Lytechinus pictus: one gene and its partner. The protein of the gene in region 1 purifies or fractionates together with the protein of each later gene. This does not show direct contact. Links are inferred from orthologs where the notes say so. Each region holds a gene or a part of one and is shown on either strand. Other genes may lie near its edges.

The links. Proteins that work in one complex are often made in the same cells at the same time.
Region 2: the proteins of intraflagellar transport protein 81 homolog (region 1) and intraflagellar transport protein 74 homolog purify together in Homo sapiens (affinity purification with mass spectrometry; 3 studies listed by BioGRID and IntAct, counting the BioPlex papers as one, with this or other methods). This does not show direct contact. The link is inferred for Lytechinus pictus from reciprocal best matches to the Homo sapiens genes IFT81 and IFT74.

Annotation. Positions count from the first base shown.
Region 1 is NC_087260.1:11,012,590-11,020,172, reverse strand, and holds the start of intraflagellar transport protein 81 homolog, read left to right. Parts: upstream 1-4,579; 5' UTR 4,580-4,658; coding exon 4,659-4,802; intron 4,803-5,960; coding exon 5,961-6,055; intron 6,056-7,194; coding exon 7,195-7,375; intron 7,376-7,583. UniProt on the Homo sapiens protein: Component of the intraflagellar transport (IFT) complex B: together with IFT74, forms a tubulin-binding module that specifically mediates transport of tubulin within the cilium. Binds tubulin via its CH (calponin-homology)-like region.
Region 2 is NC_087255.1:29,464,295-29,471,877, reverse strand, and holds the start of intraflagellar transport protein 74 homolog, read left to right. Parts: upstream 1-4,565; 5' UTR 4,566-4,673; coding exon 4,674-4,675; intron 4,676-7,583. Other genes in the region: PHD finger protein 24-like, read right to left, coding at 636-714, 2,331-2,516, 3,089-3,233, 4,043-4,341. UniProt on the Homo sapiens protein: Component of the intraflagellar transport (IFT) complex B: together with IFT81, forms a tubulin-binding module that specifically mediates transport of tubulin within the cilium. Binds beta-tubulin via its basic region. Required for ciliogenesis.

The sequences.
Region 1 (7,583 bases):
GCAGTCCTTAACAGGTACCTTTTTGATCAGTTCAAAACGTATACAAAAATTATGCTCGCGCTTTGTGCGAGCATTATTAAAGTAACAAAGATCGGCAATTTGGACATCCTTTCCATGATGATTTAAAAGACATGACTAGACATGTCTCGTTTTTAGGTCTAAATCTTCCAATTTTGTGCTCGCGCTTCGCATCAATTGCCAAGTTATATATACCTATCCTGTTTAAGTTACAAAAAGTGCCTATGATTTCAATTCTGTTCGCACTTCGCGTTCTTAGTAATTATTTAGTTGCATACACATCTTTTTCATGATAAACATTGCCCAGAAATTTCAAACTTTGGGGAAAAACATAATTTTTTTTAATAAATTAGCTCGCATTATATAAAAAGGTTATGATATCATATATTTATGTTGATTATAAGACAAAAGCTAAGAAGTGACAATTTCTTCATAGAAACAAATATAAATCATATTCGCGCGGCCGATTGGGGAAAAATAATGGTGAAAAAAAATTTGCCCCCCCCCCCCCTTTGGCTGGATCCACCCCTTCATCCTATTTATTTCTCTCCTTCCGTCCATCTCTCCATTCTTCCAGGAGCCGCGGAATGGTTTTGAAAAATGTTTTTTTTTATATTTCTACCAATAAAATTATTAATGAAAATAATGCGGTACAAAAATCAATGTCGTTCTTCTTCCTGTTTTAAACTATATATACGTGTACAAAAAACGCACCACCAGCTAAAAATAAAAAAAAAAAACCTGGGGGTCACAACCCGAGCACCCCACTTCCCAGGGCCATATACAAGGATTCTAATTTATTAATTTTAAAGAAAGCATGAGACATCATTTGTTGAAAAAAAAATTAAAGAGACCTATTAATGACTGCATGTGGTCCTACCGGTACGCTAGATCTGCGCACAAAACTGCTTTCATATGACACGCAAAAGGGATGAATCTTAGTGGAAAAGTGGAATAAAGCAAACAGGATTTAGAAACTGCCTTCGTTGGCGTTCAATAATATGGGTGGTATGATACAAATTCTGCTAGCTTATTCGTACTATTATTTCTGGCCATTGTACTTAGATCAAAATTTTAATGTGGAAACATTTTTATTTTTTTTTTTAATGATACAAATCGAGCGAGGCAAGGACAATGATATGGGGCAGAGTTCCAAGTCTTCATGCCCCAGACTGAATATATTTTGACATCAACTTACTCTAAAAACAAGTGTTTATGTTTTATTTTGTATTATTCATTTTTTAAATATAAGGTAAAATTATAAGTCTCGGAGTGTCAGTTAATGCTGCAAAAGATGTATAAGGCCTACTCTTTTGCAGCACTATCCAGCTACCGCGGCGAGGACGCCCTCCGAGAAGGTAGCCATATCAAAACTAAAAACAAAAAATTCCCCTTAGATTACTGGTGGATCCAAGGGGCATAATTATCGAGAGCCAAAATTGTAATTTGTAATATAAGCATGCCCTTTTTACCCAAGCATGCCCCCTTGAAAGTGAGGATATATATATATATATGCCCTATTTTTTTGCTTGTCAATTTTTAGGGACGAAATGACTTTCAATTTTTGGTAAAAAAATATTTTGTAATGCTCATCAAATTCGCATCGGGAAAATGTGCCCTCCATAGGCCCTGTCCCCCCTAAATTTGAGGTGGGGACCATTGGCAGCGGAAATCAAAAATTTAGGGAGGGGGACCACCAAAATTTTGTGACAAGCCCCCTCCCCAAAAAAAGTTTATCAACCCAAATTTTAGGGGAGACCACATGAATTTTTTAGGGGGGTCCACTGGAATTTAGGGGGCACGCAGGAAAAAAAATTGAACGGCAAAAAAAAAGGTTATCAACAAAAAAATTAGGGGGGGGGGACGATCGTCCCCCCACCTCAAATTTAGGGGGGGGGGCACGACCCCCCCCCCCCGCTGCCTATGGGGGATGTTGTTAGCTTTTTTGGGGGCTAAATTTTTTTTTCGGCCCCCCCCCCCTTTGATAACCTTTTTTTGTCAAAAATTTTGGTGCCCCCCTAAATTTTTTGACTGCCGCCGCTAAAAGTGCCCCCCCCCCCTTTGGAAATCCTGGACCCTCCCTTAATTGCCTAGATATAGATGTTTAAATAATTAATTATTTTGAAAGTCAGAGTGCCCTCGCCCCCCCCCCCATGCTTTAGTTATCATGGCATAAAACTTATGTCATATCTAATCCTTATATCAGCAAGAGGTCAGAGCATACTATCCGTCACCAAACGACTGCATTTGAGCCATTAATTTTCCCTTTTCTCTTCTTTCTATTATTTTCTTGTTATTTAATCACTGTTTATTTGTATAAGCTCGGATCTGAGACTAACTGATACGGTGAACGCACTTTCGTTCGAGTTGTGTATTTGCGTAATAATAGACCGAGGCGAGAAAGGACACGCCCACAATCCCTCGTTCAGTGCCGAGCTCTGTGCGTACGTGTCGACCAAATTTCAAAGAGAAAATTTGTACACAAATCTGTCACAATTCGGACCTAATTTCGCCTCAGATTAACAGATATTTAGATCTCTTTGGAACACTAAAAGTCATTCACTTGGGGTTTTTGAATATGCTGATTCAGGTGAGGTACTTTTCAATGCTTTTAAACATAGATTTAAAAAATTAGATTTTCGTTTTGGGATCCCTATTATAGGTGAAGTACGCCATCTTTTGACAAGATGATGAAGAAAGTGGACTGAAGGAGCGAGAAAATAATGCTGATTTCGATGATAATTTTTTCAAAACATGCGGAATGATAATCATCTCATTGCAATGGGATATAATCCATGTCGCACGTCGACATGTTACCCATTTACTGTGTAGCACGAAATGCCAGGCTCCGCACAGGTCACGGCAGCAATTCGGAGGCCGCTGATTATTGGTTCATCGTGCAGATCACGTCACGTTATGATTAGCCAGGAGGCTCCTAGAGAGTAAAAATCATTCACTAACGACAATGTGTGCTTGCTCTCCACGGAGCCAGGGATTGCGTCCCATTCATATGCGTGTAGGCCTACTGTGAAAAAAAAACCTGAAATTTTCGCCCCCGAGATTTCTACTTTCCTTCTAAAAGATCTAGCCCTAAATCATGTAAATGGCATACAACTTCATTTCCGACATTTCTAAAAATTGTTTACTGATTTCATTTTTATTTTTTAAACAACAATTCATAAAAAAATGGTGAAAAATATTTTAAAAAGACGGGGGAAACTTGCCGCGATATTTACGTCGCCATGTTGTTTTCTTTGCTTTTCGCCAAGCTATAAGACGCATATCCTCGATATGGAGCTCGTCACCACTTTTGTGTTTTTAACAATGCAAATAACATAAAATTTTTGTACACATTGATTCTTTACTCAAACATCTCACATTAAATGTGGGATTCCAAGTTCTTTTCCGGGAAAAACAAAGGAACCAAAATTGGCGTACCCTGTCCAATGTGAAAATTAAATTGAAATTGAATATGGGAGAGAGTGTTGATATTAAGAGAGCATGCATGCGCAAGACACAAGGCAATGGTTTTTGTTAATAATATATATGCTGTTGAGATCGTGGAATCCCTGCCTTTCTCATTTTTCAAGCAGCCATAACGTACTTATTTTGTGCCTGAAATCTTTCAAGGGTTCACTGCCCTGTTTTTATTATTTTTCATTTTTCACACAAGTCACTGTGTAGTTCAGATTCCTCAATATATACATGTACACGCTTCATGTTTTGATCTCTGTTGTTGGGAGATTACTGTACAGTGCGTCCACAAAAACGAAACCGAGATCTAGCAATGATTTATCATAACTTTAATCATAAAAAAAATAGACAAATGACCTACCAATGTAAAGCTTAGAATCTCCTCTTTCATCTAAAATAACTTAGATTAATGAGTGAGCAAAAACAATTTGAAGGAAGGATACCAAAAACTCATTTTGCGGGGGTATCAGAATTTCAAAAAGAAAGTCATATGCCTAAATAGTTCAATATCTGCTCTTTTATTTGATACCTTAATCACAGGAAATGGTCAAAAAGTAAAAAAGTTCTGTTCCCTCGAAACAATGCTTGTATTTCCATAATTTCATTAAATAAACATGTTTTCACCGGTTTCCCACAGAAGCTATCGCATGGTTAACAAAAGACTGATGCATGGCTGATTGTCAACAAAACAGAGTGTCGAGTGAGTCTGAACGCTAGCCTGTAAAACCTTTTCATTTTATGAAATTATTGAAATTCAAGTCTTATTTCAAATAACCAGAACTTTGTTATTTCTTGACCATTTTCTGTAAATTGAGGTATCAAATGAAAGAGCAGATATTGAAATTTTAAACAATGTGGTTTTCTTTTTGAAACCCAGATACAGCCCGCCAAGTGACTTTTTGGTATCCCCTCTTCGAATTGTTTTTGCTCACTCATGCATGAATGAGAAAGTTTACATAAGTTTTACAATGGTAGGTCATTTGTCTATTGTACTTGTGATTAAGTTATGATAAATCATTGATAAATCTTGGTTTCGTTTTTTGCGGGACGCACTGTATGTGGAATAATACTTGCACCTTTTTCTGTTTCTTCCCCATTAGGAAAGCATGTGAAGATTCTCTTCTGGCCATTCTCCCGGAACGACAATAACCTTCAAGAGATTCAAGATGAGCACCCAGCTCAAGTATGTGGTTGAGCAGCTCAACAAAGATCCCTTTCGGAGGAACTATAACCTGATCAGTTTTGATGCCTTAGAGCCACTTCAGCTGTTGCAGGTGCTCAATGATGTCTTGTCTGAAATCAACCCTCAGGTAAGATTTCACTGGACTTTTGAGTGCCAGTTCTGTTTGCGACTTTTACAAGTTTACTCGGCTGCAATTCTGCAGTTGAGTAACTAATGCCCGTCTCACACTATGCGATCCGGTGTGACACGATTTTTCAAGAAATCGCATTTTGCATTAAATATGAAAGTTCCAAGAAGTAAAATTATTGTATTTAAAGTTTGGCATATTGTTACGAAAACTAAAATCATATATTTACTTTGCGGCAAGCCCTCTGGTCGGAGTAAAGTCTAAATCGGCTTCAAGTCGCAGCCGATGATGACGTCATTACGATTTGGAATTGAATTTGTTTTTATTCATTCAGGGAGGCTCTAACTGGACTGAATTTTGATTTCAGTTGTCCTACCACTATTCTGAACTCTGATCTGTATTATTTTATTAGTTGGAATTATCCATATCAAATGTTATCACAATTAATTTGAAATTGGGATTGCAACAAATTGCATAGTGTGAGACGGGCATAAGAGTCGCAAGTAGAAAAAACAACATGGTTGCGCCCATGCACGGGGATTATAAGGTTATAGGCCGATAAATTCAAGTAAGAAAATTGGGAAATCTTGCTCAGTATGATTATTTTCCCAGCTCTACTAAAGGTTGGATAGTATTGTGTGAACGTGTCATATTTCTTCATTTTCTTTTCCATAATCATTGTTAACAATCATGTCTTTTGCAAGAACAGCCTGTTACACAGGCCACCATATTGTGCCTGATTTTTCACTGCAAAACACAATCTTACAATCTTGAATGTGGAAGTTGGTTCACAGTTAATTCGCGCGGAGGTCGCTTGCACCCATTGTGGCAAAGAAAGGTGTGCTAATTGTGACCTCAAATCTATGGCAGACATTCTAGAATTTGAATTTGTGATTTGAATGTGAATCTCAATTTGAATTTGAAATGGAAATTGACAAAATATTACTTTTGATATGAATGAATCCCTTTCCATATCCAGCACAAGTTTGATATCAAGGGGAAATACTGCATTACAGAGACAGCAATATAAGCTGAATTTGAATTTTGAAATCAAATAAAAAAATTATTTGATTTGAAATTTGGAATTGGAGTGGACATTCAAAGTGGATTTAACATCGAAATTTATATTGGTATTGAATTGCCCTTTACCCTCTCCAGCACAAGCTTGACATCAGAGAGGAAACACCAGATGCCACAGCAATGAGAATGCTGGCTGAACTCAAAGTCCTCAAATACAAGCCTTCGGTGGAGCCGTAAGTATCAATTTCACCCTTTCCTCAGTGGTATTGTGTAATTCCATTAGAAACCATATACAGTGGTTAAAATGCTGTTATGTCCATGCTGTGCATGTTGGTGCTTTAACTAGGGGTACTCCAGGGCCCCGTCTTCAAAGAGTTGCGATTGATCAGATCAATCGCAACTATGGACGGCCAGCAACGTCAATATCTATTATGCATGTTTGTTCAAAATATTTTCTAGCATAGATGATGTATATTCATGCATTCATTGTTTTCTAGAAAATTCACTGCACTTCTCTTTGCATACAAAGGTCATTGTGCATATTTTTCGTAGAAAAAAATTATGACACTGATGGATTTGTGAGACGGGGCCCAGGTTGAAAATGGTAAGAACTATGATTTGAACAGGTGAAGTAAAATCAGACAAACAACACTGTAAATTTCATCAAAATTGGATGTGGAAAAACAAAGTTGATAACATTTTAAAATTTTGCATTAATTTGGTGAACTATGCCCAGGGAATAATTTTCCTGGTATTGCATCGCAATTTGCTCCACATTTTTGAAAGACTGCTAGATGCATAAAGTCTTTTGTATAGCATATTTTTACATAGGACTGAAAATTACTTTAGTTGAGAGCTTTTGTCTTATGAGCAAAAATTCTATTCAAATTTGTAAAGCAAAATCATTCCCTGATGCCTGTCTTCATGAATATGCAATGAACAAGCTGATGATTTATTGTATTTTATTATTCAAATTTTGTCATCCAAGAATGATCGTCTGCTGATTTAATAAGATAACCATTGCTGCAACTTATTTCGTCACAAGGGAGATATATCACACACACACTTGTATGAGAATATGAAAATACTTATGATTTCATGTAATAACAAAGGAACAAGAGTACATTACATCATCAGCCCACCTATTGCATATTCATAACAGCGTGCATATAACTGTTTTCACAAAATGTTTCTAAACTTTAAAATTTATATTTGTCTTCGGATTTTGTTAAAATCATAAGATTTACTCTATAGATATCATGAACACGGTCAGAATGGACACCAATAGCCACACAACCATTTGTAAAACCCCCCTTAACAATCCATATGATCAATTTGACTAATTTCCCATTTTATTTTATTTTTTTATTAGGGCTACCTTTCGGCAGGGCCTTGTAGCTGGCAACAAGCCTGTGGTCTATTCCATCTTAGAATGGTTATTCCAGAAGATGCCCGAGCTGAAGAAGAGGGCGTATCTAGCCAGGTTTCTTGTAAAGATTGAAGTACCTGGGGAAATTCTGCAGGAGGAGGCTGTTATGGATACATACGCACAGGTGAGGAATGTCACATTTTTTTTAGTCTTTCTGTTTTTGTCTCACCTGCATAGCAGAGTGAGACTATAGGCGCCGCTTTTCCGACGGCGACGGCGGCGGCGGCGTCAACACCAAATCTTAACCTGAGGTTAAGTTTTTGAAATGACAGCATAACTTAGAAAGTATATGGACCTAGTTCATGAAACTTGGCCATAAGGTTAATCAAGAA
Region 2 (7,583 bases), on another chromosome or scaffold:
TTTACCAACTTTCCTTGTTTATATAGAAATATAAATCACATTGCCACTGTAAATTACCTCTACATTGACAATTCATTTCCCAGTGTTTTTGTTAAAGGTATTTAAGCGTATGGGTCTTTTGTGAAGGAGAACGGGGCGGATCCAAGGTGGAAGGAGGCACTATTCCCCAACAAATTTAGGGCCACCATTTTTATTTTTATTATTTTTTTTTTTTTTGGGGGGGGGGCAAGCACAGTAACAAGAAAACAGTATGGCCTGGAGGTGAGTCTGGGCTCGCTCGCCTCAGTGGATCTGTGACTGAAGGAGTCTTGAAGTGTCGTTACCCTACTGAAAAGAACAGTGTCCCACGTGTGTGCCATAGTGTGTTCACAGAGGGGAACACAATGTGAAATCACCTTCATACTGTTAAATCTAAACATTTCAACAGCGTGAATCACGTAGTCGACCATGTGAGCACGATGTGAACAGTCACGCTGTCGAGGTGTCCACAGTGTGAAAAGAAATTCTGGCACTTTAACAATGCAAATAATATTTTCACAAGTCCACTATGTAAACACACTGTATGACACTGTGTTCTTTCCAACAAGATAAGCTCCTCAGAGAGGATTATTCCTAAAATACCTACAGTAACTTACCTTCATCTCTGTCATATCTGTCAAACTTTTCCATTAGTCCATCCATCTCAACCAGTGTAATAAGGTTTCCAATGGACTCCTTTGATATAAAAAAAAATGTAAATATTTAGTCATGGCTCGACTGAGGTGAATTCATCATTATCATCACTTAATCAAGGAATGTATGCAAAATTGTTATGATTTTTTAACCTAAATTTGAGGTTGGCCTATATTTCGTTTTCAGGTAATTAATGGAGAAAATTCAAAACTAAAGATTGATACACTTGTTATAATTCTTTCAAATAAAGTTTCTGTGTAATGATGAAAGTGGATGAGTAATGATATGAACATAAGACAAGTGGAACGCCTCTGGCAGTCTCGCCTGCATTACGCAATTTAATATAGCAGCAGTGCTAACTTTGAAAACTACTATAAAATAATCATTCACAAAAACACCATTCATATGGTCAAATACACCCATGTCCACATTTCATTCACTCTATCCATAAACTTTCAAAGTTATGATGGCAATTCAACAATTACCCCAACATGGCCTAAGTTTATTGACCTTAACTGACCTTTGACCTTGGTTTTGTGACCTGATACTCACAGGGGATGTTTAGTGATACTTAATTACTCTTATATCCCAAGTTTTATGAAATAGATCCATAAACTTCAGAGTTAGGATGGTAATTCAACAAATACCCCCAACACGGCCAATGTTCATTGACCTTAAATGACCTTTGACCATGGTCATGTGACCTGAAACTCGTACAAGATGTTCAGTGATACTCGATTACTCTTATGTCCAAGTTTTATGAACTAGATCCATAAACCTTCAGAGTTAGGATGGTAATTTAACAAAGACTCCCAACACGGCTAAAGTTCATTGACCTTAAATGACCATTGACCATGGTCATGTGACCTGAAACTTGCACAGGATATTCAGTGGTACTTGATTAACCTAATGTCCAAGTTTCATGAACTAGATCCATAAATTTTCAAAGTTATGAAGGTAATTCAACAAATACCCCCAACTTGGCCAAAGTTCATTGACCCTAAATGACCTTTGACCTTGGCCATGTGACCTGAAACTCAGGCAGGATGTTCACTAATACTTGATTAACCTTATGTCCAAGTTTCATGAACTAGATCCATAAATTTTCAAAGTTATGATAGTAATTCAACAAATACCCCCAACTTGACCAAAGTTTATTGACCCTAAATGACCTTTGACCTTGGTCATGTGACCTGAAACTCAAGCAGGATGTTCAGTAATACTTGATTAAACTTATGTCCAAGTTTCATGAACTAGGTCCATATACTTTCTAAGTTATGATGTCATTTCAAAAACTTAACCTTAGGTTAAGATTTTGAAAATAATTCTCCCAACATGGTCTAAGTTCATTGACCCTAAATGACCTTTGACCTTAGTCATGTGACCTGAAACTCAAGCAGGATGTTTAGTAATACTTGATTAACCTTATGTCCAAGTTTCATGAACTAGGTCCATATACTTTTTAAGTTATGATGTCATTTCAAAAACTTAACCTTAGGTTAAGATTTGATGTTGACGCCGCCGCCGCCGTCGCCGCCGCCGTCGCCGTCGGAAAAGCGGCGCCTATAGTCTCGCTCTGCTATGCAGGCGAGACAAAAATGAGTTGAAAACAATGATTAAAAAACACTATACACAAGAATTCATTGAAGAACACTTACACATTCTGAGCAGCTCCATCCGACCTCTTCTTCCGAGTTCTTCAAGGCCGTGGCAAAATTGACATCACAGCAGTAGCCACCAGATTCAAGGCATTTCTGATGCGAACACCTCCCACAGATCCTGCACTCATGGATGACGTCATTCTTCACCATGTTGCATAGCGCACAGTTCACATCAATGTCAGACTACATGTATGGGTCAAATGGGGCAGTTATACATACAACGTACAATGCAACAGAACATGATGATTTTTTTTAATGATATGGGAGCCCCCAAGCTTGTAGGTAGGACTCCCTAAAAGTAACAGACTTGACAAAGACAGTAAAGTATCAGTAATATGAAAGTTATGTAACATAAAGATATCAACTAAAAAAAAACACTGGTCAGCACTGACAGTGGTGACAGGCTGCACCTCAGAATAGGGGAAGGCAGATAGTACCATAATTACTTAGATCTCAGTCTAACAAAAGATTTAACCATGGATGGGAAAATTTGTTTAAAACAAAGGCAATCAACTCATGATAGGATAGAAATCTTCATTCTACACAGTTCTAAAACTCAGTTAGTATATGTACTTAAACAAATACTCATTGCCTTTAATGTTTTGGGGAAAAGATAGTTCTGAAGAATGCATTATTATCCCCCCCCCAAAAAAAAAAAAAAGCAAACATATGCCTAGAAGATAAATGTACATGCAGACCTATATCAATTTATTGGAGTGTAAATTATGACATAAAATGTAGATGTATAGTCTTACTTCAAGCATGGATTCGTATTCTAGGTTGGCTGGTGCCGTGCCAAATTTAGCTTCTTCAAGGGCAAGTTTCTGACGTTCTGCCTGTCTCTCTGAACGCTGTCCGTTGTATGATATCTGTGTTGTTTCTTTCGGCTCATCAGAATGCCTACGGAGTACGGTGCGTATAAAGAAAATCTCTTGCTGAAACAAGTACAAGTAACTTGAACTTTGTTACAGAAATGAAACTTAAAAGAGTGAAAAATAAGGCTTACATGTACTATTGTAGATATCTAAATTATTTAGATAAATACATGTAGGCTAGATCTATCTAGACCCTACTCCATAAAATATGCCTGGAATGGAAATGCATGATGTAGCAATCGCTCATCCCCATACTAGCCTAGCCCTAGGCTATATTGTGGGCTAGTGGCTAAAAATAGGCATTTTAAAGTTATTTTTATGCTGACCTAACGACTGTTTGACTTTGAGCCTTTGTCTGACCTCTGTGAGGAGCCTTGGAAATGGAAACATGTCACATGATAATTAATTGATCAACTTGAGTTCTACTCAACTTGGAAGTTGAGTGCCAGAAAATTTGAAGATGTCGCAAAATTTAACTAGGCCTACATTGATCACTCAAAATAAACTTTTTATAAAGAAAGAAAATTTGAGGCCAACTCACCTATTTACTTTTTGGACACATGTCTAGTCTACAGCACAAGTGCCATTTACATATTGCCTACCCTATCCTAACCTAGCCCTGCCAAGGTTAGGCCTAACGTTAGGGCTCCGGGGACCTCGACAATGTGTTCGGGCTTGAGTCTACATTAGGCTAGGGCTAGGCCTAGCCCTAGCAGGCTGGTTTGATTTAGTCGATCTAGACTAGGTCCTAGTCCTACTCTAATTCCCATCGACACGGATCAAGCAAAAATAATGTAGATCTAGACTATTCAGTAGGCCTAAGTGAATATCTACCTGTTCATTTTTTGAAAAGGTCTCATCCATGATGGAATTGTGCCTGTGGGCAGTGTGGCGTTTCCTTTTGCCGTGTCACTCTGTCTCTGGCTTTCAGTTGCAGTCGTGCTGCTTGTTGTAGTCCCGTCTTGCTGCCTACTTTGTCCCGTGTCAAAAGGCGTTGCTCCAGCAGCTTTGATTGGTGCAGCTCCCTTTTTGCCAGCAGATAAGAAAACATTTGCTATCAAACCAATCCTGCCTGCCTGCTGTGCTCTCTTTTGTATCCTTTCTTTCCTATACTTCATAACTGCGTTTCCCATCTTGATCTTTTGGTAAGACTAAGAATCGACAGGATTTAGGCTAGATAAAAAAGTTAACAATCCAAAGCCAAAACTTGACAAGTTGTTCCTCCACTCGAGATCGCAATAGGCTAGAGGCTGCGAACTTTTGACCAATCAAAATCCATATTCAGATATTGCCAAATCGCGACTCGGCTTGATTGCAACATGACGCGACGTAGAGGGCCGCCGGCATTGTCAATATTCCCATCATGCAGTGCGCACATAGTTTTGTACCCAAAATCGCATAGCGACCACCGACGCCAAGCGATTAAAAAAACACATTTTGGAAGTCATAAGTTGTTGTCACATCTATGTGAGTATAGCTACTTTTGAATTTTATTAGATATTGTCATGGGAATGAATGTTTCGTTTCATGATCCATTTAAGGAAAATACTTTTTTTGGAAAAAATGGAGCAAGGATCGACAAAAAAGTCTAGCACAGTCCCATACGTTAGAGTTTATGTTGGCTTCGTCGAACTCGTTGATTTTGCATTGAAATTTTTTTCACAGAATTCAGAAAATCATCTATTTGTGATTAAAAAAAGGAAATATGATTACGCAAAATACCTCCCAATTTCATTTCATATACTATCATGTGTTCCGGTAGGAAATAGTTCTTATTTTTAGGGGCTTTTTTATTTTTTGTCCATATTTAATTTTAATATTGGCTTGCCTCACTCTAGACCAAAAGCTTCGGTCTCTGTTATGTTGGTTGTTCAGCTGAACTCCGTTGGCTTCACTCACCAAATACAGAGACCGAAGTTCTAGCGCGATCTGTACAGGGGACTCAATGGCCATATGTTTATGTGTATTAAGTTCGGATAAAACAGGGCAGTGAAGTTGCGCGACAGCCGAGGTAAGTCACTGTTTTTGTTCCTTTTAACTTGATTTCCCCCGTTTTCTGGCAATTAATGCCAAGAGGGAATATTAATTTGCATTTCGGTCGCGTTAATTTTCAAAAGTTTGATTCATTAAAGACAAAAATTGAAGAGCCCCGACGGGGGGATTTTGCATTGTAAGTCCCCAAATGGTGGCTGCACGATAGCGAGCCGTCTGTGTATGAGGAGAAATTTAAAAAATAAATGTTTAAAAACTCCTCGAAACAGACGGCTACCAGCTGTCTAGCCTCACTCCCACTCCTAGTACCAATGAGGTCCAACATTACATGTATGGACCTCATAGGCGACATCAGTAGTATTTTTGGTTAGAAATCTCTGAGAACAGGATATTTCTATATTATATCACAAGTACAAGCTATATTCCTTTCTCTTATTTAAATTATAATTTTATAGTGTAAATGCATCGTTGGCAACAACAAAAAAATGAAAGAAATGAAGGGGAACTTACATTTTCACGGCTTTTTCCAGATTTTCTGGGCAGTTGCTCTTCACTTCTGACTCGCGATCGAAGCTGATATGAAGATCACGTGATTCGCGTTCTCGTCAGCTGATCGGTTGATTATTCTTTTCGTCAGACGTTAATAATATATATTTTATAATGCTAGCATTCATCGCTAATTTAGGTGAAAGAGATTGAAGTTAAACAGCGCCAGGTCGGAATCATAATTATTTTGGAAGAGTGTATTTATACACTCGATCTCATACCTGACGTAGACGGCGCTATTCAACAAATGCACAATCTTCAATATAAAAAATAAAACAGAAAGAACGCCTTGAACACAGGCCAAAATGCCTAACGATTTCTCCGCGGCATTAACAACTATCGTAAAGGGCGCTCCATTTATTAATAAAGATGGACGTATAGCTGTCTATGGCGACAAAATTTGCCGCAAATATTTACGAAGAATTGTGAGAAATGGTCTGAAAATGCAACAAAAGAACCGGTGAGTACCGATTAAACATTATCAATTTATTTAATAGAACATATTTTATGACTAGAGTTTAACAATTTCTAGATAATATTGCTTAGTTCTAAGCTAGGGCGGCCCAAATGCGCGTGAGTGGAGTCCCAGTTTATTAACGCGGGTAAGTATTGGGGTGTCGCCTAGAGTGATTAATATTAAGCAGGGCGCGACAAACCCGCTTGCCCGGGGCAAGTGAAATTGACGTGCGGGCAAGCATTTTTTCAAAGTCAATTGCGCGATCGGGCAAGTGGTTGTTTTGATAATGAAAAGGATAAATTGACAGTAAAAGTTTAATAATTGTTTGATAGATTGCAATCATCGGCCAATTATCTCTCATACCAGTAAAAAAACAGTGGAAACATGTCAAATCAGCGCCAATTTACCGACAATTTATCGCCAGCGCCCAGCGGTCCCGTTCGATGGGGGCTGCCATCTTACTTTCTAAACTACACTGTGCGCATGCGCTACTAATTGAAAACCCCTCTCTCGCCCTCTGAGCGCTACAGTACATGTACGGACGTACACGAGCGATCGCGAGCCAGTCGACTCGAGAGCTAGATCGCGCTGAATGCATGCAAGCTTCGGACTGACTCGGCCAGGATCAGGGTGACCAGACGTCCCGTATTTTATGTGACTTTCACACATTTATTCATCTTCCCTTCTTTTCTTTTTTTTTCTTTCTATATTCAATTCAAAGAATGACGGAAACCTTTTTATCTATTTTTATTCTCTCTCTCATCCTTCTTTTATTAGAACTTTCTTATATTTTTTATTATTTCCTTCATTTTCCCCTTCATTTTTTCTTTCTTTCTTCTCAATTCATCTCTTTTCTTTCTCTCCTTCATTCTTTCGTTCACCCTCCCTTCCAATTCTGTATAATTTTTTACAAGTCTAACACTGTGTAGTCTTCTTTCTTGATCTTTTTTTTTGTCGATTGTCCTGTATTTCATTTTGTGAAATCTGGTCACCCTGGCCAGGACTCGGCTTCAACTTCAAATCAAATAAACAATGAGTCGTCAGACTAAAATAGGCGACTTTTGTTGTCGTGATCGGCGACCAGAACAACTTGAACAAGAGTCAAGAAAAAGAAATGCCAAGGGCAAGGGCAGCGCCAGTATATCAAGTTCAGCCAGGACAGAAAAGAATATGATTAAGAGCAAAATAATTTTTGGAAAAAATTGGGCAAGCAGTTTTTTCTATCGGGCAAGCAAATTTTTTCATCACTTGCCCGACAGGGCAAGTGATAATTTTTTTATTTGTAGAGGCCTGTATTAAGATAATTAAGAGACGGACCAAGACAAAGATGGATTTCCCTAGAAAATCCATCTTTTAAGACCAAAATCATGTAAAGTTTAT